4 linked regions of the Arabidopsis thaliana genome follow. The protein of the gene in region 1 interacts with the protein of each later gene in a pairwise test. Each region holds a gene or a part of one and is shown on either strand. Other genes may lie near its edges.

Evidence for each region.
Region 2: the proteins of PIP1;5 (region 1) and FOLK interact in a protein complementation assay, tested with the Arabidopsis thaliana proteins (one large-scale study listed by BioGRID).
Region 3: the proteins of PIP1;5 (region 1) and AT2G15280 interact in a protein complementation assay, tested with the Arabidopsis thaliana proteins (one large-scale study listed by BioGRID).
Region 4: the proteins of PIP1;5 (region 1) and AT2G24170 interact in a protein complementation assay, tested with the Arabidopsis thaliana proteins (one large-scale study listed by BioGRID).

Annotation. Positions count from the first base shown.
Region 1 is NC_003075.7:12,217,293-12,224,375, reverse strand, and holds PIP1;5 (plasma membrane intrinsic protein 1;5), read right to left. Parts: upstream 3,736-7,083; 5' UTR 3,585-3,735; coding exon 3,254-3,584; intron 2,981-3,253; coding exon 2,685-2,980; intron 2,591-2,684; coding exon 2,450-2,590; intron 2,317-2,449; coding exon 2,221-2,316; 3' UTR 1,908-2,220; downstream 1-1,907. Other genes in the region: TET5 (tetraspanin5), read right to left, coding at 1-282; AT4G23390 (NEP-interacting protein, putative (DUF239)), read left to right, coding at 4,689-4,847, 4,986-5,072, 5,152-5,379, 5,489-5,638, 5,717-5,770, 5,851-5,997, 6,083-6,463. UniProt on the Arabidopsis thaliana protein: Aquaporins facilitate the transport of water and small neutral solutes across cell membranes.
Region 2 is NC_003076.8:23,667,529-23,675,326, reverse strand, and holds FOLK (Phosphatidate cytidylyltransferase family protein), read right to left. Parts: upstream 5,061-7,798; 5' UTR 4,815-5,060; coding exon 4,500-4,814; intron 3,697-4,499; coding exon 3,629-3,696; intron 3,543-3,628; coding exon 3,411-3,542; intron 3,272-3,410; coding exon 3,156-3,271; intron 3,050-3,155; coding exon 2,757-3,049; 3' UTR 2,458-2,756; downstream 1-2,457. Other genes in the region: AT5G58575 (SAGA-associated factor-like protein), read right to left, coding at 103-297, 412-723, 890-928; AT5G58570 (uncharacterized protein), read left to right, coding at 2,197-2,457; EOL2 (ETO1-like 2), read left to right, coding at 6,853-7,798. UniProt on the Arabidopsis thaliana protein: Kinase involved in negative regulation of abscisic acid (ABA) signaling. Substrate preference is farnesol > geraniol > geranylgeraniol, but has no activity with farnesyl phosphate. Can use CTP > ATP > GTP = UTP as phosphoryl donor.
Region 3 is NC_003071.7:6,636,921-6,644,823, reverse strand, and holds AT2G15280 (Reticulon family protein), read right to left. Parts: upstream 4,852-7,903; 5' UTR 4,634-4,851; coding exon 4,594-4,633; intron 4,503-4,593; coding exon 4,322-4,502; intron 4,014-4,321; coding exon 3,872-4,013; intron 3,795-3,871; coding exon 3,725-3,794; intron 3,583-3,724; coding exon 3,410-3,582; intron 2,849-3,409; 3' UTR 2,471-2,848; downstream 1-2,470. Other genes in the region: TIC21 (translocon at inner membrane of chloroplasts 21), read left to right, coding at 813-1,127, 1,381-1,638, 1,911-2,114, 2,199-2,312; AT2G15270 (PRKR-interacting protein), read right to left, coding at 5,572-5,904, 6,606-6,857.
Region 4 is NC_003071.7:10,272,425-10,280,705, forward strand, and holds AT2G24170 (Endomembrane protein 70 protein family), read right to left. Parts: upstream 4,843-8,281; 5' UTR 4,765-4,842; intron 4,698-4,764; 5' UTR 4,471-4,697; coding exon 4,363-4,470; intron 4,019-4,362; coding exon 3,854-4,018; intron 3,758-3,853; coding exon 3,648-3,757; intron 3,564-3,647; coding exon 3,455-3,563; intron 3,382-3,454; coding exon 3,269-3,381; intron 3,192-3,268; coding exon 1,883-3,191; 3' UTR 1,675-1,882; downstream 1-1,674.

The sequences.
Region 1 (7,083 bases):
TATGAATCCAAACAAGGTCAAACCCATGAGTGCGACTATGATGAAGACCATGAAGAAGAGGTACACCCACAAGACCCAAGCCACGTCACAACATGCACCGACTAGACCAGCTACTGACAAGATCAAGATAGCTAGGCCTAAGATCAAAAGTGGCTTCTGAAGAAAATGCTCGCATGTCGTTTTGCTCCTACCCATCCATAGAGCTGATCCTAATAGAACTATGGAGGAAATTAGTGTTAGGATATTCAAGAATCCTATCACTGTATTGCTCATTCTGTTCATTTTCCTTCTCTCTCCTTTTTTATTTGTTACTAGATGATTCTTTGAATCTTTTGTGTGTGTATGTGTGCTGAAAATTCTTGCTGGCTTGTCTCTCTCGATATATATCTTAATCACATATCATTCAGCTACTTTATAGTAGTTGAGATTTTTATACATTAAAAACAATGTTGTTGATATACATTCACACGTATGACTGAAATACAAAAAACAAAATCTTGACAAAACAAAAGAAAAAGAAAGTGGATGGAATTATTTTGTTATCTTTTTATCTAATTTCTTGGTGTGTTTGCTACTTTTAATGTGATAATGTATGCGTCTTCACTTGCTTTAATCTCATCACTTTTGAATTTTGATGAGTGGCTTTACCTTTTTTCGCAATTTATATTTAAAAGTTATGTATTGTTTTTTTTAAAAAATAATTTCCTCGATTTGGATATTTGAAGCTTTGTATCATATGAATTCAAAATGTTGGTTTAAGAGTATTTTTCGTAAATGTGGGCTTTTTGTTTTTTGGTTGGAACTTGGCGATTAAGAAACCGCTTTCATTTGGCTCTAATATCGGTAAAAAGAAAGTTCATGCCATACTTCACAAAGTGGGATGATCATAAGCCAAACTTCTTAACCATTAAGTAACCTTTTCCCGCAACACCTTTATATTACTTTTTGTTTATGGATTAAGATTATGTTAAATATATACAACACCCACAATAATTGAAAAACTTTGATTATTTAAGATAAAACATCAACAAAATATTTTGAAGATGATTAGGACATCTAGCCTAGATATTTGTGTAACTAGTAACATCAGTATGTTACCATCCGGATTCAAACTTGCATATTTTTGAAAAGGAAAGTTGACATCTTCATCTTTTTCGTATTGATTGGTTTAAGGGTTTTGTTTTGTATTGCAAGATACTCGATGTTTTAAACAATCAACTTTTTTTAATCTTGATCCACTACATCACCACTCTTAATTCCCACTAGTCTCAAAGATTATGTAGAAAGTTTAAAGATTTTCCCAAATAACAATAAACAACTCTGATATTTGTTTGATAAATGTAAACAACCCGAGTACTACATGACCAAAGGGCAAATGCAAATTACTTATTCTCTTAAAGTCAAGCTCAAGCTGAAGTCTTGCACTTTCTTGGCCCATCCATATTGCTACAACTCTTTTTTGGATGATAGTCATGTAGACTCTTTCACATTTCTTGGCCCATTAGATTCTTTCATGACTATCATCCATATTACAAGTTGCTGCATCAAACATGTGAAATATGTTATCATTCATGTGAAAGATGTTACTAAATCTGGTTCTTTTATTATTTTACTGGAACCCTACCATGTGGAACAGAACATGCATTTTCATGACTATCAACCAAAACCAAAACCAAAACCAAAACCCCGAACTGAACATCATCCAAGAATATCTATAACTGAAACTGTGATTCAAAAGTTGAAAATTCAGTTATAAGCATGTTATAAAAAGTGGAAAATGAAAGACTCTTATAGAAGAAAGAAGATGAAGAAATACTTGCGATGATGGTGTTAGACCAGTTCAGTTCGGCTTAGATGTTGTTCTATCAAATTCTACACATTTTACAATTATGTTGCTAATGTTTGGTATTGGAAACACTTATTGACAATGTTAGCAACTTAGCATACCTATGTCCAGTTCAGTTATGTCTCTGTGATATTCAAACAAGATTCTGAGCTTACACATGTACACAATGTATTCTTCCATTGACATAATTAATGTTACAAGATACAATGCCATTGATACATAATAGATTACACATTTACACTGTTACAAGATCAAAGCTCTAGTGGTACATATAGAGATCATCACACATGACATAGGAAACAAGAAGAAAGCATATAGAATTAAAGATTGATATATTCTTAGCTTGATGATGATCAGAGAATATGTAGGAAACTTTATGTCTTGGACTTGAAAGGAATAGCTCTGATGACTATCTGATGGTACAGAGCAGCAAGCGCAGCACCAATGAATGGACCGACCCAGAAGATCCACTGCAGACACATAAAACAAAAGAGACAACAGATAAGAGCAGAATTATCAAAAATTCTGAGTTGCTATTTAGATGCAATTCATAACTTATCATACTTAGCACAACCGTTGATGTAATTAAAGAGGAAAACTTACATGGTCATCCCAAGCATGATCCTTGTTGTAGATGATGGCAGCTCCGAGACTCCTGGCCGGGTTAATGCCAGTTCCAGTAATTGGGATGGTAGCCAAGTGCACCAAGAAGACAGCAAACCCAATTGGAAGCGGAGCCAAGATCTGCAAAATGTTCGATAACCAAAAAACACATGAGCTCTATGTGAAGAATATGAACTCAACACAACTCAAGGATACTAGAGAATTAGCAACATACAGGGACATGAGAGTCTCTGGCACTTCTCTTAGCATCAGTAGCTGAGAAAACAGTGTAAACCAGAACAAAAGTTCCAACAATCTCTGCACCAAGACCTGAACCCTTTGTGTAACCATGAGCCACCACATTAGCTCCACCGCCATTCGTCTGGTACAGCCCTGGTTGAAACCCTTTAACCACACCAGCACCACATATAGCTCCAAGGCACTGCATTACTATGTAGAACAGAGCTCTGGTTAAAGATAGCTTCCTCGCCAAGAACAAACCAAAAGTCACCGCCGGATTAATATGTCCTCCTGCTCATTACCAAACCAATTCGCCACACACAAGTCAAAATCAGATTATGATCTTCACACAGAAGAAACAAAGTGGGGCAAACTAACCAAAGTTTCAAACTTTAAGAAGAAAATTACTCAAAGTTTCAATCTTTAAATGTGAAATTACTTTTAAGTATCAAACTTTCTTCATTATATCCAAGTTTCTCACAACCAAGTAACCCTAATTCCAGATTCCTTCAACCTAAATTCGAAAACTTTAAACAAAATTCAGAGCAAGAACAGATCCTGAACCTGAGATTCCAGCAGTACAGTAAACAAGAGCAAAGATCATGCCACCAAAAGCCCAAGCGATGCCTTGGATTCCAACAGAGGCACACATATTGGGAGCTCTCTTAACACCCATGACTGTCAAAACGGTGACGTAGAGGAAAAGGAAAGTGGCTATGAACTCAGCTATCCCTGCTCTGTAGAAAGACCAAGATTTGAGCTCGCCGGGTTCGAAAAACGGCGCCGGTGGTGGTTCCTTATAGTCCTTGCTCTCCGTCTGAGCCGCCGTACCGATCGGCTGTCTCTCTGGGAACTTGTTGGCTCCAACATTGACGTCTTCTTCTTTGCCTTCCATGTTTCTCTCTCACTCTATCACCACCAACTTTAGTTTGTTGTCTCTGTAAATTTGATGACTGGTGTATGTGGAGGTTTTATAGTTTGGTTCATTTAGGCAAAAATAATTATTAATTAAATTTGCTACTAATTTCCAAAATCTTATATTTGTTATTCATGCAAATTTCTAAATTATCAGAAAATGTGTAAATAAATAAATATAGTTAATTACTAATTATAGAAAATAAATTAGTGAATTTAGACTAAATTAACTTAATCTGTCTAAAATTTTTGTGATAGATAATTTTAATTGCAATGGTTGATATAGAGTCGCACTCAAGTCTCTTTTGATTGATGATTTGCATTTTTTTTATTGTCAATCATAACTCGTGGTTTATAAACCTACATTTTCCATGTAAGACTTTTAATTCGTTTAATGTTTAATAACGGTTTTCTATCTAGTTAGTCTTTGAGCATAATACTTAAATTAAAAAATGTTGTTTTAAGATAAGAATTAGAGGTAGGTAGTTGAAATGGACTGGACAACTAGGCGCGAAAACGATGCATAGAAGAAGATGGACATAAGATTAAGCAACTACCATATAATTTGTTAAAACAGAATATATTACAGCTCAAATGATGTGGACAATTCTAACATAATGTTTCTATCAATTATGTGAATGATATTATAGAGGAAATTATTGGATGTCAAAAATATTATAGATGAAAGAAGACACTTCACATGGAAAATGTTCGCCTTATCGATCTCTACTGTTTATAGATCAATTCATGGTTTATTTAAGTTCCTTTGTGTCACTACTGTGTTTTTTTTTTATATTGGGCTTTGATCTAAAAACTTTTTTTGGGGTCAATTGATCCATAAACAAGCTTTTCCTTTTTCTTATGGAATATACTTTATACAAAAAAAAGTACATTAAAAAAAAGAGAAATCTTACTTTAGCATCTACATATGGGCAATAGAGATAGAGGGAGATACATTTGTCATTTACTGTGTATAGGTTCTTTGGTGGTTATAAATGATCTCAGATTTATGTGACACAATAAATATAGTTGTTCTGCTTCATTTTTTCTTTTGAAAAATATAGATTAAGATCCTTGATTCATCATGAGGTATTCCAATAAACTAATTATCTTGCTAACTTTATCAACAATAGCTCTCATTTTAGTTGGAGAGAGTCACAAAACAATACCTTCGAAAGAGGAGAAAGAAGAGATGAAGAAGCTACTTACCTATCTCAATAAACCTGCAGTCAAAAGTTTCCAAGTAAATTTAGCCTTTCTTTTCTTAAATTTTCATAAAACATTACAAAAATTGTTGACTATTGTAACAATATTACAACTATCATCAAGTTACATTTATTTTCAGACCACACCAATTTTTTCTTGCTTTTGATTTCGACAGACTGAACATGGTTATATATTTGACTGCATCGACATTCAAAAACAGCTAGCTTTTGATCATCCTTTGCTCAAGAACCATTCTATTAAGGTTTATCCTACAAACCACGAAAAAATATCTATAAATAAAATTCTTATTAATGTTTGGATGGATTGAAATATAAATGCAGTTGAAACCCACAACTATACCTAAATGGACCAAAGATAACAACGCTTCTCATAAAACTAGTTCTCTGCCATTTCGACAAGATGACATAAGTTGTCCAGTTGGGACAGTCATTGTCAAAAGAATTATACTTGAAGATCTTATACGAGCTCAACGTTTGCAATCCTTACGATTCAACTATCCAGGACAAGTGTCTGCAAAGGACAAGAAAATTGATTTAACTGGTCATCATGTAAGAATCATTTCTTATTACACGTAGTTGAATTGAGATCGCCTTGTAACTTGTCCACAATGCTTATAATATTTTTTGATTATCTATTCTTTTTCTCTTCGGATTTTAGTTTGCCACAATTAGTTACAAAGATGACCACTATGGAGCAAAAGGAAACATTAACGTATGGAATCCAAACGTCTCACCTGATCAATTTAGTCTTGCGGCTATGGCTGTATCAGGCAACAAAGGATTTCAAAGCATTTCTGCTGGATGGATTGTAAGTCAAGCTAGACCCTATTTTTACTTATTTTCTAAATCAAAAATTTGGAACTAACATTCCAAAATATGTTTTTAGGTGTATCCAGGGCTAAATCAGAATAATCAAAGTCACTTGTTCACTTACTGGACTGTAAGTTTTTCAAAACTTCTTAAAGTCTTGACTCTTAAATGTGGCATTCATATTATGGCTACTATCTTTGATTTAAATAGGCGGATGGAAATAATAAGACTCATTGCTACAATACACTACGTCCTGGGTTTGTACACGTGAGCACCAAGTATGCAATTGGAATGCTCGCCCAACCAGTTTCCATTTATGATGGTCAACAATATCAACTAGAAGTCAGCATATATCAGGTATATATATAAATATACAACATTAGCTTTCTTCAAACTAATATCGAAAAGTCAAGATTATGTTAACAACTTTTGATTTAAGCAGGATCATGTTACAAGAGATTGGTGGTTTGTGCTAAATAACGAGCCAATTGGATACTGGCCAAAATCATTGTTCACACGTCAAGGTTTAGCTGATGGAGCGAGTGCCGTGTTTTGGGGAGGAGAAGTGTACAGTTCAGTGAAAGAGAAGAGCCCAAGCATGGGAAGTGGACATTTCCCACAAGAGGGTTTCAAGAAAGCAGCCTATGTGAATGGTTTAAAAATAATCACTGATATAACAAAAGAAGTTTCGAGTCCGTTAGCTTCAGCTTTAAAGACATTCGCAAGCAGTCCAAACTGTTATAATGTCCAAAAAATATTAGGTGTTGGTGAATTTTGGTCAAGAGCTATTTTATTTGGAGGACCTGGAGGATGCATATTTTAGTTTACTTGTCTTAAGAACTTTATACACTTAGTGTATATGTCCTCTGCTTAGTTTTAGTTAAACAATAAAATGGATTTTTAATCTTATAATTATCTTGATTTTTAGATAATTATTTTTTTTTCACTTTTTCTTTTGTGAGGATCAAGTATATATGATCAGATACAAACATAAACTTTTTTTTTTTAGTAAACAGATTATAATTTTTTTTTTTTAATAGATTTCTTCCTAATTGTTAATTTGATTTTAAGTTGGGCTTTTTTTTTGGTTAAAAAGGCGGCTGCATTTGTCAGGGTTAGGGTTTTGATTAATCTCCTCTAGAACTATATTTAGAGCTATATATAAGCAGATAAGGGATTGCACGATTTCTCAATAGTTCCGTCGCTGCGTTTCCATCACGTCGATTGCTGTCAGAGCCACGCCTATGAAGAATTTGTGCGGCTCTGATACCAATTGATGCTATGGAAACATCGATATTGCCTGATTCCGTGTTTCCTTTTACCTTGTTGTTAACGCTTCTATGTCTTAAGAAGACGACACAAGTTAACTAATTCATGAGATTTCTAAAGAGGACGGTATGTTTCTCCCTTAGTTTCTTGGAGCAGAGTTTCATGATTGGATCG
Region 2 (7,798 bases), on another chromosome or scaffold:
CTGAATATAAACCTAGCAATTCGATTTATACCAGTCTGGTCGAGTCAGTTACTAGCCACATTGTCGTTCAGTAATCAGTATAAGCCTCTCATCAGTTGTACTTCAGTCTCCTTTCACGTTCTCTCGAACTGTGAAATTTGAGCAGTCTTCACCTGCAACACCAGGTGATCCACTTGCTAACTGGTTCTCACTAGCAGAATTTGGATAAGGAGAATATCGTGGATTGGGGCTGCGTCGTGCATTCCGGTTCTGTGCAGCCGTTGTGCTTCTGGTTGTCTTGGCACGAGCCTTTCTTCCCTGTTAGGTGGTTTCCAAAAAAAAAAAAAAAGTAAGGACTAGAGGTTCAATGAAACAACACATTCTGGAATACTATCTGACAGAGATAAGGAGGCATGCAAGCAATAAGATCACCTTTCCCATGCATTTTTCGAGATGAGGAGCAAACCTTCCTGCAACAATTTGTCGCCCACAGTTCATGCAATTGAACACTTCACTAGCTACAGGAGGGTGAGTCTGCCCAAATATATCAACAACATATTTGGTGTTGGTTTCGAGGTTGTTGCTAGGATCAGCGATCTTCGCACGCGCTTCCACTGACAATCTCAACTCTTCTTCTACTATATCCAAATCACGATCAAGTCCTAGTCGTGCTACCCGATGACACTCAGATGCTACATCAGCTATCACCGAATCCACAAGATCAAGAAAAATTTGGGACGAAAGCTGCAAGCAAAGTTCAAGAGCAAAGAAACGTAAGTCTAACTTAGTTTCCACTAGGCAGTTACTTTAACAAGGAGGAGAAATCTTAATAGTTTTACATAGAACGAGAATGTGGAGCATATAAACAGTAATTGAATTCATCATGAGATGAGACTAAATGAACAAATACCTGAGCATGGGAAGATTTATTATCCTCTGCGCCAGACATTGGAATCCTCTAAATACGAGATTGCTCAACAAAATGTCTGCGAGAAAATCAAAACCAAATCGTAAAGAGAGATTTCCATCACCATCAGGAGCCCTAGAAAAAGCGAATTTCTCCAGAAATCAAAAAAGTCGATCATCACTATCTAACAGATTCGTTTTGGAGTTTCTGTGATAGGAAACTCTACTACTCATTCCTCACAACTTTACTGTTTCAGGTTCCAAATCAAATCATCCAATAAAACAAACCCAGTCTACAAGCATAGATACAGAAACGAAATCGCCGTAGAATCAGAAAGCTTACACTGTAGAGCCGAGTCGCGACGGTGAACGGAGGAGGGAGAGAGAGTTTTTTCTCTCTCGATCTGTTGAATTTTACATCGGCGAAGAAACCACCAATCATGACTTGCCACGGCACCCAGGCCAAGCTAAAATATTAAACGGCAAGCGTTTCTTTACTTAATCATATAAACGACACGGTTTTCCTTCTCACCGTCACCTCGAATAGAAAGAAAACGACACTCCACGTCATCTAATTTCTGTTATGATTTTTTTATTAAAAGCCCATCTCATGGCCCATTCAAATCTCTTTTTTTTTTTTGCAGCACCCATGCAAAATCTCAGTAGAGCACACCTCGATTATAGCTTCTTCTTCTAGTTTGGCACAATTGCTTTTTTGTTTCTTCTGAAAATGTCTCTTTCAGAACCATTCAATTAATACAAGCATACCACGTTTTCTTCTATTTCGAGAATGCGTGAAGAAGTTAGCAATTTTAAATGGGCCAAATCAAAGAGTAATTAATTTTTGTATTCATATAAATAAGGGCAGAAGAAGAAGCAACTAACATGAGACACAAGGTCGCTTCTCTCTTGAGGAAATTTCCGGGAAAGTCACGGAGTCGGTTATGGGAGCCACACGAAAAGGATTTTCTTCAAATTACGAAAACGACGTCGCACGTAAGATCCAAAAAGACCCAATCCAACGCCCCATATGTAGAGAGCAATCACTAACGAACGTCCCAGTCTCACTTTCTACACCAACCTTTATACAAAAATCCATCTACTAAATTATCCCAAAGAAATATATTTAAACTCTTCTTTTCTTCTGTGGTGACATATTGTTTTCATTTGATACATATTCTCCCAAGTCAAATTTATATTTCAGAGAGGAAAAAGAAACAGACACAAATCCCTCCAAGATGATGCATGACAGTATGAAGTAGGTATGAGCAAAGGAGTTGAGATTTGAGAATATTTGAGATTACCTCTCTAATGGTAACTTCTACGGTGGAGGCCTCGAGTCCTGAAGATGGCGAACGACTTACTTTCACTAGAGACAGACACTACGCCATGCATGGTGAGATCTTGACGGTAGTTCTTGTCATCAGCTTCGCCGTCTTCCTCTTGTTCCTCGTGTTGCTTCCTTGTCTGAAACGCCGTTACAGTCACCAGTCCGACCTGTCAGAAGAGGCTTCCTGGAGCGGGACACTCAAGCCCTCACCTGTTGTAAGCAAACAATCCATTTCCACATAGCCATAGGCCAAATAACAAACAAACATGTATTGAATATCTGTTACAAAAGAGTATCTGTTACAAATTGTAGAAGCGTCACTGTTCGTCATCATATGTCTCACTAATGGATAGAACATTACAACATTGTACCCAACTGCAATTGCAGCTGAAAAATAAGATTTGTGGACAACAACAATATGAGATGTTTCACTAATACGTACATACAGAAGAAGATGGGAACAATGAATGCAGTTTTACCTCCATATCAGCAATCAAGCTCGACCCTTTATTTGATGATACATAACAACGAGAGGGTATTATTAGAAGAGTAAGAATCCGGCCAAGGCAGAGGTTAAGGAAATGGTGAGATTGTCGTCAATGTCGGTGCTTATTGGGAGTGATTCCACAAGAGCTGATGCTATAGAGATGACGAGGAAACGAAGAATCATTCCCCCGCTATCCTCGATGTAACCAAATGAAGCAAAGTAGTACATATACGCAACAGATGCTAGAAACCCGGCGGTGGCCATTCCAATGCTACCAGCAAATGATTTGTTTTTGTTGTAAGGAAGCTTCTCTGTTCCAAACCGCCGACCCACAATGTCAGCCATACCTTTTAACAGCAAGTGTGTGTATTAGAATCATCATTCAATGGATTCAAATTCCTAAGACAAAAGTTGCTAATGTTATTGGATCAAACCAGAGCTAACTGTACTTACCATCTCCTGCGCAAAGGTTGCATATCACCGCAATCGCGATTGGGGATGATTTCCAATAGTAGATGCAGGCTGATGTGATTGACAGTACATAGTAAAGCGGCCCCTTAAGTAGTTCCCTGATGCAGAGAGCGACTACAGACACTTTGTGAAGTGACAAAAGCAATAATAAACAGACAAACCGAATTTTGATCATAGATACCAAGAATGCTAAGAGATTGTTGGATATTGTGACAGACACTTGTTCGATTCAGCTACCTGCGATCTCCATGTCTGCTCATTGACTTGATTGTTCCTTCGTCGTGGTACACTCCAAGCCCCAGCAATAGCATCCTTACTATATTGAGTCCAGGTACAAGAGATGCGAAAAGTGCTCCTTGGATTCCAGAACTGAAACAATTGATATCGAAATAAACTGGTGAAGCAGAAAAGCAAGCTGGTACATCAAAATCGATCCTTTCACTCCGTATTATTACCTGAACAGCGGCCAGCAAAGCATAAAAACTAGCCCAATATTTATATGCACAAGCTTCCGGATGAGTTTCTGAAAAATAAGAAATAACACCAATGTCAACCACAGATGTTAAACCAATGCCTCATTCAATAAAACCATGAAAGTGGAGTCAGTCCTACATCAGACAGCCTGTGGATCTTATAAATTCAATGGGTTCTGAGATGATATCTTAATCACGATAAGGTCAGAGAAACAAAATCAAGTAGCTGAAGCCATACAGGTATTCCCAAACCAAAAATGTTTAATAGAATTTTTGCTAATCATAGATAATTCCTCTACTCCTAACCAAATTACTTGAAGAAAAACAAGTCACTGCGGAGAAACACATAAGAGAAAGGAAAAAAAAACAAGCCATGTCCAATATGTGTATAGACTGACTCATACGAAGAAATAATCCTTCAAAGTATAGCAAAGAAATTGTGCAACATTTAAACCTACAAAATTCATATATATCATAAATATGGTTGAATCTTCAAGTTACGATGAGATTGTGATTATACCGCACGAATTTCAAAAAAATTTCATCCCCAAATTGGGTTCTGAGCAATTTTCCCACTAATTTACCAGATATGGGGTTACTTTCCCATTGTTTATCGCAGTGTTCTTCCACCCCAAAATAGGTATCCATTCACATTCTATAATTTCTTGAACTAATAAGATTTATTATCCTCGCCATTAATGCCATCCATTACTCGATAAAGCTTACTACTACCATTACTCTGAATCCAAAGTTGCTTTAACCAGAAATTGCAGAATCGAGCAACATTCCAAAAACGTTATTCAACAAATCGACGCGTGTATAATTTAATTAAGTGAATTGAATGATCGAAAACCTGGTCGAAGATGCCACGTTTGCCAATCTCTCCCCAGAAACCGAGGCACGAGAACGCAACGATGCTAGTGACTCCAAACGCGCAGACATCTGATAAAACCGAATTTTCCGGAAACATCACGGCGGCGAGTGAAGACTTGCGGATTTTGGTGGCCGGAAACCTAGAGCTCGATCTAAAGCTAGTCGCGATTCGGACAGTGAGGAATCGTGGAATCGGAGAGAAGAAGGCGAGAGAAGGAGGAGAGTCAACGAGAGGAGATGAAATGAAAGAGCAGCAGAGAACGGAGAGCTTTGTAGTAGTACTAGTAGTTGCCATTTTCTGCAACACTAGAAAACACGACCTTTTCTTCGATTACGTTTTCATTTATTTTTTTTGACAGTAACTGGTTGGTAGTTGTTGTTGCTCAAGCACACAAAATTTGGTTTGTTTTATTGTTTACCAAAAAGATGGTGAAAAGTGGATATTTATTTCCCCAAAAGGAGTGTTTTACTTTATCTGGTCACATATGGATTAAAGCAATTTTAGTTTCGTTCTATTTGGATTCGGCTAGAATGGTTCATGACATGGTGGTGTTCGTTTGAGGAAACGCATAATTTGTTATTGTGGGCCTAGTTTGGGCTTTATATTCGCTAAATAATTTGGGCTGGTATAAGTCAACTAGACGGACCACAATTTGATTTCATCAAATAATTTTTCATGATTAATAAATCCCTAATTTAGTTACGAAACACAATTCAATTATTGTGCTACTCAGATTCGAGAAACATAAAAAAAAAAAAAAAAAAAGTGATTCAGATTCCCTCACATGGGTTGCCGAGACACATGACCACACGTCTCTTGCCTTGTTTAATCTTTTATCAATTTTGCATCAACTTGTATATACCATAAGAAAATTATTTTAATTGATTTCAATGTGAGATTTTCTTTAGTATTTTTTGCATCAAATAATGCCAACCTAATCCTCAATTATCCATCTTTATTTTTTTTCTGAAACAATCTTATATTATTTATCTGTTGGCAAAAGAAAAAAAATCCTCAATTATTTCGCAAATGGTATATATGTTTATCTTTAAAGAGTACACTTGCATGTGTTTTCCAGGTGTGCGGGCAAAAGAACATCAGAATTGGTTCTGGATATAGTTCTCTCCACTTTTTATTTGTTATTGTTTTAATACAGTACGTTTTATGAGAGTTTTTTATATATATAATAAATTATGCGTTTCCTGATAGTTGTTGGTCCAATATCGAGAACAAAAAAAACTAACTACAAGCTAAAAACCTAAAACTATGAAGATCTCAGAAAATATAAATATACACGCTCACGTTAGCGAGTAAAAAAGTAGACACCAGATTAACAAATGATTAGTGTGATCACAGTAAAGAAATGTTTTGCAAAATTTTAAGCAATTTTTTGAAATCATGTTGTATGTAATAAATTGAGTAAATTCATGCTGTACATAAATTAAAGACCATTTCTTTGTTAGTCATTGAAATCATAACCAATCAACCAATAAAACTGAATTTTTTTCGTTCATTAGAGAGATAAGTTAATATCTTCAAAGTTTAATGTTAAGCTCAATTGTTTAGATAGGAGATAACCGATAAGAAACCACATAACTAGTTAACCTACCTATCTTGGCATCACATGAATCAATGACGTTGGATAGTCAGAGAGGCTTATTTTAATTATACCCGAAACGAACCAACCATCTATAATTCTCTAAACTATATTTAATCATCATATAACTCTGTAATAAACCCAAATTTTCACAAATTAAAAGCCATACCAATATCTTCAAATATGGAAAAAAATAACAATTTAACAAAGAAACAAAATATTTCCTCACCAAAAAAACAGAAACAAAATATTGTTTTAAAAAAGGAAAGTGGTCTTTACACAAAAAGGAAAGAGAAAGGAAAGTGGTCTGGTTCGTATCGCACCCAATAAGAACCACCAACTGTTGAAGTTCGTAAACTGTTCCACAAAAAAATGCATAAAAGAAAGAAAAACAGATATGAGATTCGACCATTTTTTTTCCATATAAATGTTTTTTGGGTTTGCAAAAATCGACGCCATTACTCTTTTTTCTCCCCAAATTATTGACCTTTTTATAAAAATAATTTATATTCTCAATCACACTTCATCGTCTTCTTCTTCCTCTCTCTCTCTCTCTCCTTTTTGTCTCTGCACTGTGTGTTGTCACCGGAGACAGAGCTTGTGTTTTCAACTCTCTCTCTCTCTCTCTCTCTCTCTCTCTCTCTCTCTCTCTCTCTCTCTTGCTCTCTCCGTCTCCCTCACTCTCTCTTTACTTCAAAATCAAACCCTTTTCTCAGATTTCTGTGATATAGCAAAATGCGCAATCTCAAACTCTTTGAGAGATTTAAAAGCACTCAAGTCCACGCCTTTACTACACAAGACTCTCCCTCTACAAGCAGCAATGGTAGCCCTCGAATGATGAAGTTCCTTGGGCATCCCAAATCCAAATCTCGTTCACTTCTCCCTCATGGCTTTCCCACCACAGACCTCCTCGAGCCTCCCTTGGACTCTTACCTCAAACCTATCGATTTGGTGGAGTCATTATCAAATCTATATCGGAGAATCGAGTCCAGTTCGGAATCCGAGGCATCGATGCTCTACCTTGAGCAGTACGCTGTTCTCCGCAGTCTCGGTGATGCCAAGCTCTTGCGTAGGTGCCTTCTCAACGCTAGGAGGCACGCCATTGATGTCCCTTGTAAGGTTGTTTTCTCTGCTTGGTTGAGATTTTTTAGGAGAGAACATGAACTTGTGGGAGTTGAATCTATGGATTGTAATGGGCTTGCTTCTGAATGTCCGAAGACTAGTTTGACTCATGGTTGTGATTTGAATGTAGACGACGAGGGTTGTGAATGTTCTACGGTATGTGAGGATGAATTTGGTAGTGATGACGTTAAAATCTCTAAGGCTGATGAGTTTTCGGGTCTAGATGAGGTTAGCGATATTTCCTTCTGCGTAGGTTCAGAGAAGGCTAAGTGTGTTAGGTCGAGAATCGCAGCGCTTTCGCGTCCTTTTGAGGCCATGTTGTATGGTTCTTTCGTGGAATCAACAACTTCTGAGATTGATTTCTCGGAAAATGGCATCTCTATTGAGGCAATGTTGGCACTCAACATATATAGTAGAATCAAAAGAGTTGATCTGTTTCGTGTGGAAACTGTATTTGAGCTGCTTCAATTAGCCAGCAAATTCTGTTGCGATGATCTGAAGTCTGAATGTGAGGCTCGCTTGGCTGCTTCTGTCACTGACCTTGATAAAGCTTTAACCT
Region 3 (7,903 bases), on another chromosome or scaffold:
TTTTCGAGGGCTTATGCTTCGCTCCTTGTCCTTGCTTTTCAGATCTGTTGAGATTGGATCGCGTTTTGAAGGATTCTAACTAGACGTCCATAGGCGTATCAGACGTCATCGTCACATCCAGAAGCTTGTTTGAGGCTCTCTTAGTGTTTTTGCTTGCTGGATTATGATTTCCTTGGTTCTTGGTTTCGAGAGATTGGCTCTCATCGTGATAGGAGGTAGTTGTTGTTGTCTTTGGGTAAGCAGGGGGCACCCTTGATGAATCTCTTTTGCAGGAGTTCCAGGAGAAGATGTTTCCTAGGTTTCAAACCTATTTGTGTTTGTTCTATGTTTAAGGGATTGCCCTCTTTCGAAACTGGTTTGAAATTTCTTGCTTTGTAATTCTAGTTGTGATCCTTGTTTCCCTTTGTTAGGGCCTAGTTTTCGGGGAAGTTTCGTTTTCCTCCGGCTCTTGTCTCCGGGGACTGTTTCGTTGTCCGCTGGCTTTAGCTTCCTTTGTTTGGGCATTTGTAATCTCACCATAATTTCATATCATGCTTTTCAATGAAATTCAGGTGACAAAAAAAAAACTAAATCTTTATATATAACATTGTCTATTTTATGGTAGAAACTCCGTAAAAGATTGTAAAAATTATGCTAAAGAAAAAGATATTCTGTTGGACCAAAAAAACAAAGAATGAAGAAAAGAAAATATTCTCAATGGGCCGTTAGGTAGCAAAAGCAAAAAGCCCATTGCAACTGTGAAGAATAGACGAAGCCTTAAAAGAACACCAATTCGCTACTTTACTCTTAAAATAAACTCTCCACTAAAAAATATGCAATCACTACTCTTGCCGCCGGCGAGTTCCTCCGGCGTATCCGCCGTCGCGCTACGGCCAGGTTTCCAGCACTCATTTAACCACCAAAGCCTCTCTACTCGCTCCCTGCCATTGTTTAATCCACTTCTCTTAGCTCCGAAGAAGAAAACCACCATCTCCTCATATCAATCGCCACCGTCTCTGTCCGTCTACGGTTTCCAAATCGGAGGATCTAAACCTAGTTTCACACCATCCACGGTGGCATTTTCATATCCGACTTCTCCGTCTTCCGTTCCCGGTGATAATGAGGTCGACAAAGCAAAACTCGCTCAGGTTCTCTATCCATTTCTTCGCCTTTTTCACAAGCTAGCTGAAATTGAATGTAGAAAGAGAGAAAATGATCTAACAAATCGAAATTAGTTACAATCTGCTTTTGATTTTAGGAAGTAGATAACAATTTAGGATTTGAGTTTTCAGAATTGAAATTTTGAAAAGTGCTTAGTGTGAAGAATCTTTATGCAGTAACTGTATTGGTGTGGAAGAGATTTTTTTTGTTTTATGAGTATGGGTGGTTTATTATTCACAGGTTGCAAAGAGATTGGAGAAGACTTCAAGGTACTTTAAGAGACTAGGGAGTATTGGTTTCTGGGGGCAGCTTGTGTCAACTGTGGTTGCAGCTGTGATTCTATCCTTCTCCATTGTTGTAACTGGGAAACCTACTTCACCTGCTACTTTCTATGCTACTGCTAGTGGGATTGCTGCTGCGTTTGTCTCGGTTTTCTGGTCGTTTGGGTATATTCGGCTCTCCGAGAGGCTCCGTCGAACTTCCATCGACCCTGCCAAGGTAAATATGTCGTTCTCTTCATTGTAGTTCAATCCTAATCAGTGAACACCCATACAATAGCGCTTGTAGGTACGTATGGTCAACTTTGTTTGTTAAAGACCGGTCTGTGAACCTAGATTTAGTAGCAGCTCTTGAACCTTGGATCATGTCCAGTCAGGTTGCCCAGGTCACCCAATAGCGGTTACTACTCCTACTTGAGTCCTGATACTCAGTTTTGTAGTTTGGTGTCTAAAGGAAAAAATCCAGTTTTAATAAAGGTTGTGTTGTTGCAGGCGCCGCCTCGCGCTGATGTTGTGAAAGGTTTGAGGAGCGGGATTATGGTAAATATTTTGGGAATGGGATCAGCACTACTCGGGATGCAAGCAACAGTTGGATTTTTAGTTGCAAAGGCTTTAACAACTTCAGCAAACCCTTTCTACCAAGGAGTCTCTCAGGGATACAGTCCCGTTCTTGCTCTTGATGTCTTCCTAGTTCAGGTATTAAGCTCTAATTGTGTTCTTATTATAAGTCTTACTTTATTTGTGTAAGTTCACTTTTTGACTTGAGAGCCATTTGTGCAGGCATCGGCGAACACCTTACTCTCTCATTTCCTTGGTCTTGTTTGCTCGTTGGAGCTGTTGCGGTCTGTGACAGTGCCCAATTCGGAATCTGTCGTAGTTCCTAAGGTTGCTTGAGTTTCTGCCTTTTTCAGCCTCACTTCATGTATTCATAAACGTTGAAAGCTGGGGCTGTTGTTTCCTTTTATAACCGAGAACCAACGATTGCGGATTCAATGGCTTTGTTAGCAACATTATTGAACTACATAACTCAAAATCACAATTCAACATAAGAAGATAAAAAACTGAAGAACATTTTTCATTCTTTCAATTCCAGTATCTCGTAAATCACATAAGAGACTAACTTGTTTTTTTATTGTCTCCATATAAATTTCAAGCACTAGTCTCGAGCTTAAAACCATTTGCTAGCCCGAAGCTGCCCCAATACGCTGATTAGAATCACATTTAGTTCCTGAAGTTACACAGACATGGACTTCTCTATCCACAGTGTCTATATAAAGAGAGAATCAAATGAAGGGTTGGTTCATGACAAAACCACACTCAAGTCTCAACTTCTCTAATTCATCTACAATCATAGCTAGTTACGTCGCCTGTTGCACTCTTTACTTAGTTTTACCTTCCCACTCAGTCCAATTCTGTCTTGTTTTCTTTCACTGCATCCAACGAAAAGAGTACTAACAGATTAGTATTGGTCTATGAAGAGGATATCACTTTGGTGTGATATGTTCAAAGAAGCAAATATGCAACTGGTATCAACACAGAACACGCAAAATTGATGTACCACTGATATCTATATAAATACTTAACAGTCAACATCTAAGCATATTTTGTTGATGTGTTGTAGTTCTATTTTATAAACAATATGGCTGATGAGATTCTAACCGGTGAACTCCTCATCTAATTGAATACACCATCAAAGAAACTTGATTAATGTGATGAGTCTCAAAACTCTCTACTAATGCTCAAACAAAACCCTGCGCAAGTCTATAATCCCCTCCTAATGTATTCTCCACACTCTTTTTTAAAATTTTCAGCTATCAGCTAATGTAAGCTCTGTTGTTGAGCTGGCGAAGCTATGCCTGAACCAACAACCCTAGGCTAGTTGAAATATTAGAGCACTAGGCTTAACAAGAACACCTTTATCAAAGGAACAATGAGCAATGTATCACAGGACTAACTGAATAAAATGGTTTAAGAAGGTTCAGTATGCTTGCCTATTGCATCTTCTTTATCTTATTTGTGGGCTTAGCAATAATCTTCTGTAGTAATCTTTCATCGATCTTCCTGTACTGTGTCTGAATGACTCGATGAGTTAAAGATAGCTTCTCGTCAATAAGATCCTGGTATCTCTCGTACAAAAAGGGAATCAACAGACTCAGAACAACACCTGTCCATTTATATCACACAGAGAAAGTCAATTAGCAAGTCTTGAGTACAAAATGTATACTCTTCCCCTTGTGGAGATACTTATAGGTTCTATCAATAATGAACAATGTAAAGAACAAAGGAAAAACAAAAAAACTACTCACCAAGATAGAGTATTGTGAGGAAGTTTAAGAAATTTCCAACAAATGATACTGTCCACAACACAACACTCACCTACCATAAGCAATCTCAATGTATCAATTTCAAGTAGAAATCTATTGGAAAAAAACAAAAGGGACAAGTTTGCTGACCCGAAAGAGTTGCTTTGCATTTCTTCCCACGTAAATCTCACGAGCAACAGCGAGCACGGTATTAATCCAGACTCGTATAGCATCAGCCACCATAAACACAAATTCCTCAGTGATTTCAAGATTAGGTAGTTGAGGCATAGGCCTAGTCAATAACAATCACAGTAAATTTCAGATTCAGCTTTAGCACAGAGGTAATGCAAACTTTTCTTCATACTTAACCATATCTTATCTACAAATTAGATACCTATAGAAAAGAATAGCAGATTTGGCCCAGAGGCATAGGTCTGGTCAAGAAATTTCAGATTCAGCTTTAGCAAACATACTTAAACCTGTAACCATTATCTTCTTATCTACAACAAACTTATGCAAACATTGTGACATTCTTCTTCACTAAAACTATGCAAACCAAAAATAATGTGACATTATACAATCAGGTTTAGATGATGATACCTATTGAAGAGAATAGCAGATTTGGCCCAGAGGAAGAGTATAACGACGGAGAGAAGCTGAGTATTAACAACAAAGGGGAAGAAACTGTATCCACATTTCTCAAAGAGGAACCATAACAATGTCGTTGATCCAAGTAGAAGAAACCCTCCGCGTCGATTCTTCCACATGATTAAATCTGCAACTGCATCAGTTCAGAAATCATATGAATCGGTAGATCTACACGTTAATGGAGTCGTAGAACAATGAAACAATGAGAGAAAGAGAGAAGAAACCTGAGCCGAATCGTATCGATTGATGAACAGATTCTTCCATTGCAGCGAATCAATATCTCTCACGAATCCCAAAATTGTTTTGAGTCTCTTCGTTTTACGCACATAGTCGTCTCTTCAATTTAAGCAGTTTGTGCGGTCTATGTCACCATTCATGGCCTTAACTAAATTTCTTTTTTGCTTTTAAACCATTCTTATCTTTGAGTAATTGATCTGATTCTATCTTTTGGCATTTCTTTTTTTTTTGGTTCACAATTTTTGTTGTTCCTTTAATCTCCATTTTCCATTGTGAACAATATATACATTACTTTGGAATATAGAGATGTTAAATCGGTGTATCAACAATTCAAAGATGGGGTATTTTTATATTAAACGGAATGCTTTTTGCTGGAACAAGTTGTGGTAGTAGCTTAGTCTGGAAAGCTACTACACACTCTGAGTCTGATGATCCATTCAAATACTTGACATCTCTCGAGGGACATCATAGTGGTGAAGTCACTTGTTTTGTACTTTTGTTGTTGGAGGTCAAGTGCTATACTCTGTCGATAAAACAATCAAGGTGTGGGATCTCAACACCCTGCAATGTATAATGACCTTGAAGCAACATACTGGCACTGTAACATCACTCTTATGTTGGGACAAATGTCTGATATCGTCTTCCTTGGATGGGACCACACGATTGGCACACTCACAATTGGTCCTCAAGGATTGCTATTCAGTGGACACAAAAGTGGGAACTTGCGTGTATGGAGCTTAGCTGCTGGCACCAAAGTTTAGTCGTTTTAACAATTTTCGACTAAAGAATTTTGGTTTACTTGTCAATATACATTGGTGGTTGATTTGATGAACCCTAATCCAATACAAAAGCCGATTAAAACCTGCTCCATTTCTTTTTCCCGTACATTGTTGAAAACAAAAGGAAAGAAAGAAACGAATCTCACAAAGATAGTTTTGGAATCATGTAACATGTCACAATAAAAGCTATGAACGGTTCTCTTGGAACTTGATATTAAACATTGGACGTAAAGGTTCTAGCACAGACTCTTCTTCTACTTCATCTTCACCTTCGTCAGATGATATTTCTCCTACTCTCGGTTGCTTTACTTCTTCCTCAGTAGTGTTTGGTTTTTGCTTCTTCTCCTGTTTCTTCTGCTTCTTCTTTTGGCGTTTCAAACGCTTCTTCGATGTTTTTTCCTCTGCAGCTTTCTGTTTCTCTTCTCTTCTTATAGTAAACTCTGCCATTTTTAACCGCTTGTTATAGTCAATATCCATCCTTGTTAGTCGGTCTTGTTCTCTCCGCCTCATTTGCCGGTACTGTAATAGAAAAACAATGCATCAGTATTGCACAAGTTTAGATGTCTAGTATAATAAGAAAATGATGTACACACGCTTTATCAATAATCAGGGCCACACTTCAGATAACACTCAGCCACAACCTATAGAATCAACACAACGACCATCAACCATTAATTACTAATACCCACATGAGCTTCTCGCAACTAATACTCTCAGTTCAAGCTCTACCGACTAAGTAATCAACGTCACAAAACACTTATAGACTAAGAAATTTAAGATTCCTATCACATGTACAACAAGGAACTTCTAGTAATTAATCGACTATAGCTTCGAATCCACACTTAGCCATGCCTAAGAACAAAAGACCAGGCATTCTTCACAAACAATCCAGCTGATTTTCAGTTACTGAAGAACAGAATTCATATACAGAAGTTGAAATCATTCACAGATCACAGCCATCAAAAGACTAATACAGGATAGTCTATGGAACATTCTATCAAACTCTTATATAGGCATAAAGGCATTGTGATCCATCACAAAACTAAGAAAACAATGTCAACACAAAGTCCACTAAGATAATTCAGATCCCAACAATGAACTTCTCGTAATTGATTACCACACCTAACTACGCCTAATAACAAAATACAAAGCCTTATCTGCAGTTTCAGATTCCAGATACAAAGCCTTATCGATTTAAGAGAAAGGCTTAGTTTAGTTACCTGATGGAAATCTCCAGAACCAGAACCAGCGGAACTTCCAGAAGTATTACTAACACGAACAGGAACGTTCTCAAGGATACGTCGGAGCTTTACTTCTAGATCTTCTTCATCTTCAAGCATCACCGGCGGTTTATACTCAACGATAGACGAAGATCCTCCGTGATCAGCCTTCTTCGCTTCCATCAATGCCGACGCCGTAGTGGCAGCAACCACCAATCGTGTGTCGCCTTGCTTTGGCTTCCCGGACGACATTGTCGAAACCCTAATTCCGGTCACACAATTTGGGGATTTTTTTTCCTCTACGATTTTTCGTCAAGACGATAATTTATTAATTTTGCTTTGAGGTCTGTAAAAATTATTGTCGTCTACATATAAAAATAGAAGGGCTTTTTGGGCTTGGGCTGGGTTTGTCTATTTTTTGGGTTGGGTGTATTGGACTTACCTCCTCCATGGTTTTTTTTTGGAGTTAAGTAAATCTAATAATAATAAGACAATCTCAATAAATAGTCTTTTACATTTTTTTAATGGTTGCGTTTTTTCTTTGTCATCTGAATTTTATTAGAAACCAAAGTAGGATACAAGTTCAAATGGTTACGTTTATATATCGTAAATTTTCGTTAACAAATTTACTGTAACTTTTTCGGGTTGCGTCTCTTAATTGTAACTTTTAGTCGAAACATTTACGGTTGTTCTTTTATCGCAAGCACTTTTGAATGGTTGTGTTTGTTTATCGCAACTTTTCGATAGAATATTTATGAGTTTTTTGGGTTTTTCTCGGTTGTATCTTTTTATCGTATTTTTTCAAAGAAATTTGACGGTTGTGTCTTTATATCGCAAACACTTCTGAACGGTTATGTTTTTATCGTAAATTTTTATTAAATATTTACGGGGTTTTCTGATTTTTTTCGTTCTGTCTTTTTATCGTGTATTTTCATTGAAATATAGTCAGGACTTTTTTACGGTTATATCTTTTTTAGTTGGGTATCTTTTTACGATTGTATCTGAATTGTTGTATCTTTTTATATAACGTAACTTTTTGTTACATATTTATGGTTATGTTTTTTGGTTGTATCTTTTTATCGCATATTTTGTTGAAATATTTACGGTTATTTTTCACAGTTGTTTTTTTTATCGTATCTCATCATTAAAATACTCTTTAACGTTAAAGTCGATGGTAACTTTTGTTCATAACTCTTCAACATACATTTTTTTATATTTTCATTATTAAAATATGAAACAAATTTTTATATCCGCTTAGTTGAACTACTGCAACATTTGGTTTACTAACAAATCATTGT
Region 4 (8,281 bases), on another chromosome or scaffold:
ACAATTTAGTAATTAGGTCTAAACGGGCTACCTTTTTAGTATTTTTCAGATCCATTATTAGTAGTCAAATCTAAACGGGTCAACCTATTATATAGTGTCTTTAAACGGGTTCGGGTCCACAAAATAAGACCGTATCCTTTCAGGCCAGCGGGCTTTATGTCCATTTCAACATCATGTGTAACATGTCCAAGAAGAAAGAGTGTTTGGAGATATTCGGCCTCTGTGGGGAAGCAAAATTTCTATTGACTTTTCTTATAAATCCAATGGGGAAACGGTCCTTGGAATGAATTTGACTCAAGACTCAATACACGCATTGGAGCTCTATCTAGAACTTCTAATGACTTTCCAATACTACTAAAAGAGTTGTGAGAAAGCGATAACCATGTCAATCTTGATAAGCAACCTGGTACTGTTCCTTCCATCTTATTGTAGGAAAGATCAAGGATATAGAGGTTATGTAACTGTGATATAGATTTTGGGATTGTCCCGATGAAATTGTTGTTTGTAAGACTGAACATTTTGCGCTTCGAAAATTTAGATATAGATTCAGGGACTGAGCCATCAAATTTGTTATCGCCAAGGTGTATACCAATAAGCCTAGGCGATGAAGTTGTATTCCCAAACTCTATATGTCCCTTGAACTGGTTCTCCCACTTAAGTTGTTTTCACTAAGGTCTAGGTGCCTAAGATGGGTTAAGTTTCCAAATGAATATGGAACTTGACCTACTAATCTATTATTGAGAAGGTTAAGTTTTGTGAGATGGGAAAGGTTTCCGAATAAAGAAGGAATCTCCCCATAGAGATAGCAAGTTGAAATGGTTAATTTTTGAAGATGTTGGAGTTTAAAAAGACCACTATTTGGTTTCAAGGAGTTGTTGAGAAAGACGTAATTAAGGTAAAGTGAAATCACCTTGCCAGACTTAGCATCGCACTTGACACCCTTCCAATAACAACAATCACTGCTCTTGTTCCATAAACTTAATGATGCAAAATAAGGATCTAGCTTGGATTGATTGATCGGAAACTCGTGTTTGAACTCTTAAAGAGCATCCCTTTGGTCATGGCGGCAATAGTGAAGCGTAGGAGAAGCAAATGTGTGTAGAACAAAGAAAACCAAAAAGAAGGAATACAACGTAACACCAGAAAAGCAATAAGATTGTTGTGGACTCATAATTACTTTCTGTGTGTATGTGTGTGCAGTGTGTGGTAAGTAATAGGTTATGACTATGGCTTCTGAGTATGCCTTTAATAAGAAAAAAGGAAAATAAAAACACTTCTGGAGTTTAGTTCTTGACTTCGAGAACAATCTATCGTGTGAACTCGTCGGACTTCTTATCCTCCTAATTCTTCATGCATCTCTGCTCAGTGATTTGTGCCACTGGTCCATATAGACTACTGATTGACTCATTCAATTCTAAATTATCCACCACATACGTTTCTTTTTGTTTTTGTTTATCTACCACATACTATCTTGACTTGACCTTGTCGATCGAGTTCATTATTTTTTATTTCATTTTTAATATTCTGAAAACTATGTTCCTAAAAACATGAGGTACGCAGTTTCATGAATTCCAAAAAAAAATTGTCGATTAGAAACAGTTATTAAAAAAATGTAAACTGTATGACCTTGCAGTAGTAACAAACTTAGTTTCTAATCTACTAAGAATGGAAGAAATAAAAACTGAGATTGCTGATAAAAGTGTGTGACAAGTTGCTGTTATTATGAGACAATTGTTGTACTCTTGAGCTCTATGTATGTTTACAATAAAATAAAAGTTTATGTCTACATATCTCAAAATCATCACAAAATTTAAAAGGAGGAAACAAAAGAACGAAAAAGAACAAGATTTAAGATACAGCTTACTAAGAAGGTGATTAAAGATCAATCGATTTTAACCGAAGAGTAGATAAGCCTGGTGAACCAAAAGCATGCGTAGAAACCAATTGCACCAGTAAAGACGAAGAATACGTATGAAACTATGAGCATGTACCCAAAGTAGAGCACTGCAGAGACGAGCTTTGTGATCTCAAGTTTGGTGTAGAAGTAAAAGACTGCGTAAAGAAAGAGGTAAACCGCGGAAGAGCCTGATGTTAAGTAAGATCTCCACCACCATTGATAGTCTTCACTACACAGCTGAAAATAACAGAGGACGACCGTGATCTCTGCGCAAGTGATGATCAAAATGATGAAGACGATGAAGAGGAAGCCGAATATGTAGTAGAACTGATGTAGCCATATTGAGGTGAGTATGAAGAAGAGCTCGATGAAGACTGCGCCAAATGGGAGAATGCCTCCAATCAAAATGGAGAAGATTGGGTTCATGTACCAGGCCTGTGTTGGGATCTGCCGCGGGATCTTGTTGGTTTTCACTGGATCTTCCGGTGCAGGTTTTCTGAAACCAATGTAGCCACCGATGAAAACAAGTGGAACAGAGATACCAAACCAGAGGACAACCAAAGCAAACATTGTACCAAATGGGACTGCACCGGATGATTTTTGTCCCCAGATTATCGCATTAAGGACAAAGAAGGCGACAAAGACGGTAGCGGGAAACATGAATGCGGTTTTCAGAGCGTTTCTTTTCCATTCGGTTCCTCTTAACGTCTTGTAGAGGCGTGAAGACGCGTATCCTGCCAATAGTCCCATGAAAACCCAAAGCAAAAGCATAGCCGTCATAAGACCACCACGGTTTGAAGGAGATAAAAAGCCAAGACAAGCAAAGATCATGGTGACAAGAATCATTCCAAAGCATTGAACTCCAGTGCCTGCATAAACACAAAGCAACTCCGGGTTTGTTGGCGGTCTGAAAACATCTCCGTGTACCAATTTCCAACCCGTCTCTTCGAGGGCCTCTTCATGACTCTCTAACTGATTGTAGTTGGAAATATCTCGGTAGAGTGTTCTTAGCATGATCATAGCGACCATACCAGAGAGGAAAAGAACAATCATCATAGAATTAACGATTGAGAACCAATGAATCTGATCATCAGCCATTAGAAGGTAAGTGTCCCACCTAGACGCCCATTTCACCTCACTTTCCTGGAAGTCAACATCATATGTGAAGATAATCTCGTTCCCTTCTTCAACCTCCTGAGGAGACTCAGAGTTAGTGACTGCACGCTTTGTATGCGGATCACAAGTCGTTAACCGAGCCTTTTCATTCCATTGACCTTCATATTCATGTTTGACACTGCATCGAGATAAAATCAGTAGATGTTAGTCGCTTACACAATACAGAGTCAAAGTCCTTAAATCACAAAAAGCTACCTGAACGGCTTGACTTCAAAGCCAACGATTCTTGAAGAATCGGTCTGTATATCTCTGTGATACCTAACAGTGAAGGTCAAGTGGTTGTGGATAAAATACTTCTCCTCCTTTTTCTACAAGAAAATCAAATAAATAAGAACTCTTTCCATTGAAACATATTCAGAAAAGGTGATGATGAGCTCTTACGCCAGCAAAGATTCCCTTGAGACCAACATGGAAACCATGCTGATACACTACAACATTGTCCTGATCTGGCCTTTGCACCGGAACAACTAGGGGAAGGTTGTCCAAAATCCTGCATAAGAAATCAATCTTCCTCATAAAAACAGAAGAAAAACAAAACACATTCAGTCGAAGGCGACAAAATCAATCTCCTCACATGTTAACTCGATATTCATCAGCAATCTTCTCCTTAAACGCCTTTGCGGTTTTCTTATCAAGCTTCACACGACAAACCGCAGCACACATCTGCGATTCCCTCATTTTAAACTGCAACAAAGAAACAAACAGACATTAAAAACAACTCAACAACTACCACTTAACCAAGACAGATAGAGAAAGAACCAAGAAGAAACAAGAACATACCACAAAAGGAGAGTTCTCAATTCGATCACCACGAAGAACTTCACCGAGATTCTCAGCACTATCAACAATATGTTCTGGACGACAATAAGGAAGAGAATAATAGGAATATGGAAGCTGAGTCTTTGTAGATGTCAATTTATTAACTTTCACCATCAATGCATCTCCCTGAAAAACAAAACCATAACTCCAAAGTTTGAACCTTTATAGATAATGACCATTATACATTCTTCTACTCCAAAAGCTAGATTCACACAGAAACAAGTCTAAACAATGGCTAATACATATAGACTAATGAAACATTCTCTTTAAACACAACACTCAGTGGTAACTGAAGATCAAAATTACCCAAATCTCATAAAACAGAGCCATAGATCCAATTTTAACAAGATTACTTGATCGATTGCGTTGGATCTAAATCAGAAAAAAATCTAGACCCAGTGTGAATCAAAGCTCTAAGAAGAAGCTGCATTTGTGAAATACAGATACAGAGATGATTTTATGTGGCTGACCATTTGGAAATCTTGTGGAGCGACGCCGGGAAGGTAAAATCCATGGATATGGACATTGAGGGAGAAGAATAAGACAAGGGTGAAGATCAAAATCCGAACTTTCGCCATGGATTTGCTCGATTTCGTCTTCTTCTTCGGAGAGTGAAATTTCTTAAATGAAGGAGAAGAGAGTGGGAAGAAACATGGCAATTGGACGATTTATGGCCGTTGGATATTTTAGTATCTCGTTTGATTTAATCAACGGTTGAGATTTCCTAAGTTGGAGCTGTCGGTGATTCTTCTTCTTAAGGTAATGAAATATCAAAGTCAACACTTTTTAAGGTAAAAAAATAAAACTTTGAATAGACAATAATTAAAATCAAAGTCCAATTTACGAGAAATCTAATTTTTAAATAAGGAAACAATTTTTTTTTTTTTTTGTTAATTTAAGTAGATTAGATGAAACTTGTAAATGTAGCAAAGTAGAAATGAGTTAGTGTGGAGGATACGAAATAATTATGAAAAAGTATTCAAAGAATAAAAGAAAAAAATGGATTTAAATCAATTAGAAGACAAAATCCATTTGGTAAATGAAGGTGACCTCTTAACTATTCTAGCAGATTATGAAACCTTACACACACCAGCAACCACCTTGACATATAATTAAATGTACATTACCAATAAATACATGTAAGAAAAAAGCACACACACACACAATACAAATCCGCATTAGATAAATGTAAGTCTTTCTTTTACAGACTGTTTTCAAATTGAAAACGGACGGTTTTCTTCTGGAGATAACTAGTCCGGTATAAATGTAAGCATATAATAGTAATCGCGGAAACTAACTTCTATTATTTCTATTCTATTATAAAGTAAAAGCAGTCGTTGGCAACACAACATTAGAATAATTTGAAAAGATAAGAAAAATTAACATAGCATTTGATATGGGCCAACTCTTTGATGATATTGGGATCGGGAACATGGACTTTGGTATTCTGAGGTATAATATAGTTTTCACGAGTAATGTAGGCATTGTCGTGTGCACCACCTCCGAAATAAATGATTACAAAAGTTCAGTATTATAAAAAATGGTCTAGGCGGTCGTTTACACTCTATCTAGGCACTAGACTCTCAGGTAACGCCTAAATAATCGCTTCGATTGTCTAAAATAACATAAATTGCCATATTTTCTATGTTCACTTGTCCATTTATTATCAATTTTAGGGTCTAAATGATTGTTGTGGTTAAGGTGGACAAATTCGTTTGTGTATTTGACCACGTTTTATTTACCATTTCACAAATTACTTCTGTGTGGATTTAAAAAAGAAAACTGATGCGGATCAACCACATACCGTTTTTACATATAAATAGAGTTGGTTGCGACGGTTTGTTGTCTACTTTAAAAATAGTTCGGATTAAACCATTGACGGATTTATCCATCTTAACTGCCGTAACCATTCAAACTTGTGAGATGAGAGAAGTAACAATCAAAAATACCAATTGATTGCTCGTATCTTACTAGAATTACTGACAAATTCTTCTATAAATGCAACGTTTCTCAAAGAATCTCAAGGTTAAGCTTATTATTGACACTTATATAAACTTCTATTTATTTATTTATTTAAGTAAATAATCAAAATTGCATGAGCATGTTGGCTATAAGAGAAAAATTGCATGAGAATGGCATTCTTATAGATTGATGAAATTCGATTGGTCGTGATTGGATATTCTATACAAGAAAAAAATATTGATACGCTGAGGTAGTCTAAATAGATTATAGTGTTTCATAGAACTAAGAAGGAATTATCGAAAGCAGTCTAATACTTTTTTAATCTTTAAATCATTTGAGGTTCGGGGTTCACGACGAGTGCAACGAACATGAAGACAGACTTTTTTTCTTCAATTTCATCAAACTTTTTTTTTCTTTCTGTTTTATATGCTTCTGCTTCATCACCCTTTTTTCTTTGGGTTTTAAATGTTTCTGGTTCATTCACCTTTTTTCTATGTGGCTTAGGTGCTCCTATTTCATCTCTTAGTTTTCTTTCCAGTTTTTTAGGTCCTTTTGGTTCATTGTTAGCTTGTTGTCGTTTAGATTTAGCATTTTTCAACTTAATGACTTTCTGATATTCCAGATTATTAGATCTAAAATACTCGGAGTCAAACGAATCATATCAGTAACAAAATACAAAACTAGTCACTACTTGCGAATCAATCAAACAAAAATAAAACATCTAATCATGGATGTGTATTCACAAATAACTTACCATTACAAGTGTGTAGTTTACAAATGCTCTGTTTTGACTTAAAATCAAAAGTTTCGACGATTTAATTTTTTTTGATGTGGTCATAAAAAGAAACTTGAAGAAATAGAGAATGATTCTTCAGATTTCTTGTTAAGTGATCGTGAAATACTTTGATTAGGGTTTTTGAACTGCACAAAAAATTCTAACAGAGACAAAAGGATTGAAATCCTCTATGAAAAAACATTATGTTTTAAAAGAGTTGATTTTTCTTTTACGGGCAACCCACAATCTGCGACGAGTTTATCCACATGAATTTGTGATCTACGATGGATCTATCCATGAAGCCCACTAATTTATATACAAAAAAACCAACGTCCAATCCGCCTCGACAGAACTAACCCAACAGATTTTAATGCCTAAAACATATTTAAGTTTATTTAAAATTGTTAAGCATTTTTAAATCTATTTCTAATTAAAAGTCACAAAAAACAAAGCTAAAATTCTAACCGTTCACTAATAAGACATTAATCTATGAAATAACCACTAGATTACGAAACATTTTCGAAATTTGTTACCTTTTACAACTATCTATAAATTTGTGTGCCTAAAGCATGGACTTCAGCCGCTTTAGCCAAGGGCAGAGCTGAAATTTTCGTTCATCAATTTACATTCTAGAAAGAAGTCCAGGACACAATAATGGTTGAGTCATGACTCATGAGGTGGCCAGTAGAACTGTTCCCTTCTTTGATGTGTTTGTGTCACGTTGATAACGGGTGGACATTTTATTGGTTTTGTGAGATAAATTGTTGAAAATCGTAGCGAAGCAAGTTGATAGGGTTCAATCATATCTCGTATTATCTACTATATATAAAACATTGTAGAAAAGTAAAATATTTTCATTTAAAATATTATAAAACAGAGAAGAAAACTTATACTATTTGACCAAGGAAAAAAACTACCTACTCACGACACGACCATCACGTTTATAATGTTAATACACAGTTACACCATACATTTTTTCATTGTAGTTCTATACAATAATATATCATCGTTTGATCTAACAAGTATTCGATAGATAGTGGGAACTTTTTTTTCCCTTTTGGCCTTATATTTAAGAACATGGAGCCTGTGTTTCTAAAATTCTATCTAAAAAAGTATATTTTGTATTGATCATATCTGAAATTGCATATATTGTAAAATATTGTGTACAAAAGGATCCGGTCCAAGATTAAACACACAATACTTACTGAGACTAAAAGGGGCTAAACCACAAGAACAAATCCTTGAAATTGCAATGGTTAAACTTACAAAAAATATGTCTCTTATTACCAGATCTTAATATTGTTTACCGAATTTCTGAACTAAACTACATTTTTTGCCCAAACAAACAAAGAACTAAACTATATTTATTCAAGTCAAGTCAAATAATTGCATGCAGGAGACAACGCAAAAAGATGAAAAAACTAAAAATTCAGAGATGAACATCGAGAACACAAATAACATTATCCAAATCTCATTAGGATCCTATTAACCAACCACAAAAACGTCCACTTCATAATGGTCTAATAGTACAATTTGTTTTTATGTAGAAGTAAAAGTGAAGTTCGAATATTCTTACATTGATTTCAATCATATTTTGCTACTATAGATTAACATGTATACATCAGCATACACATGGTCCAACGATTGAGTCT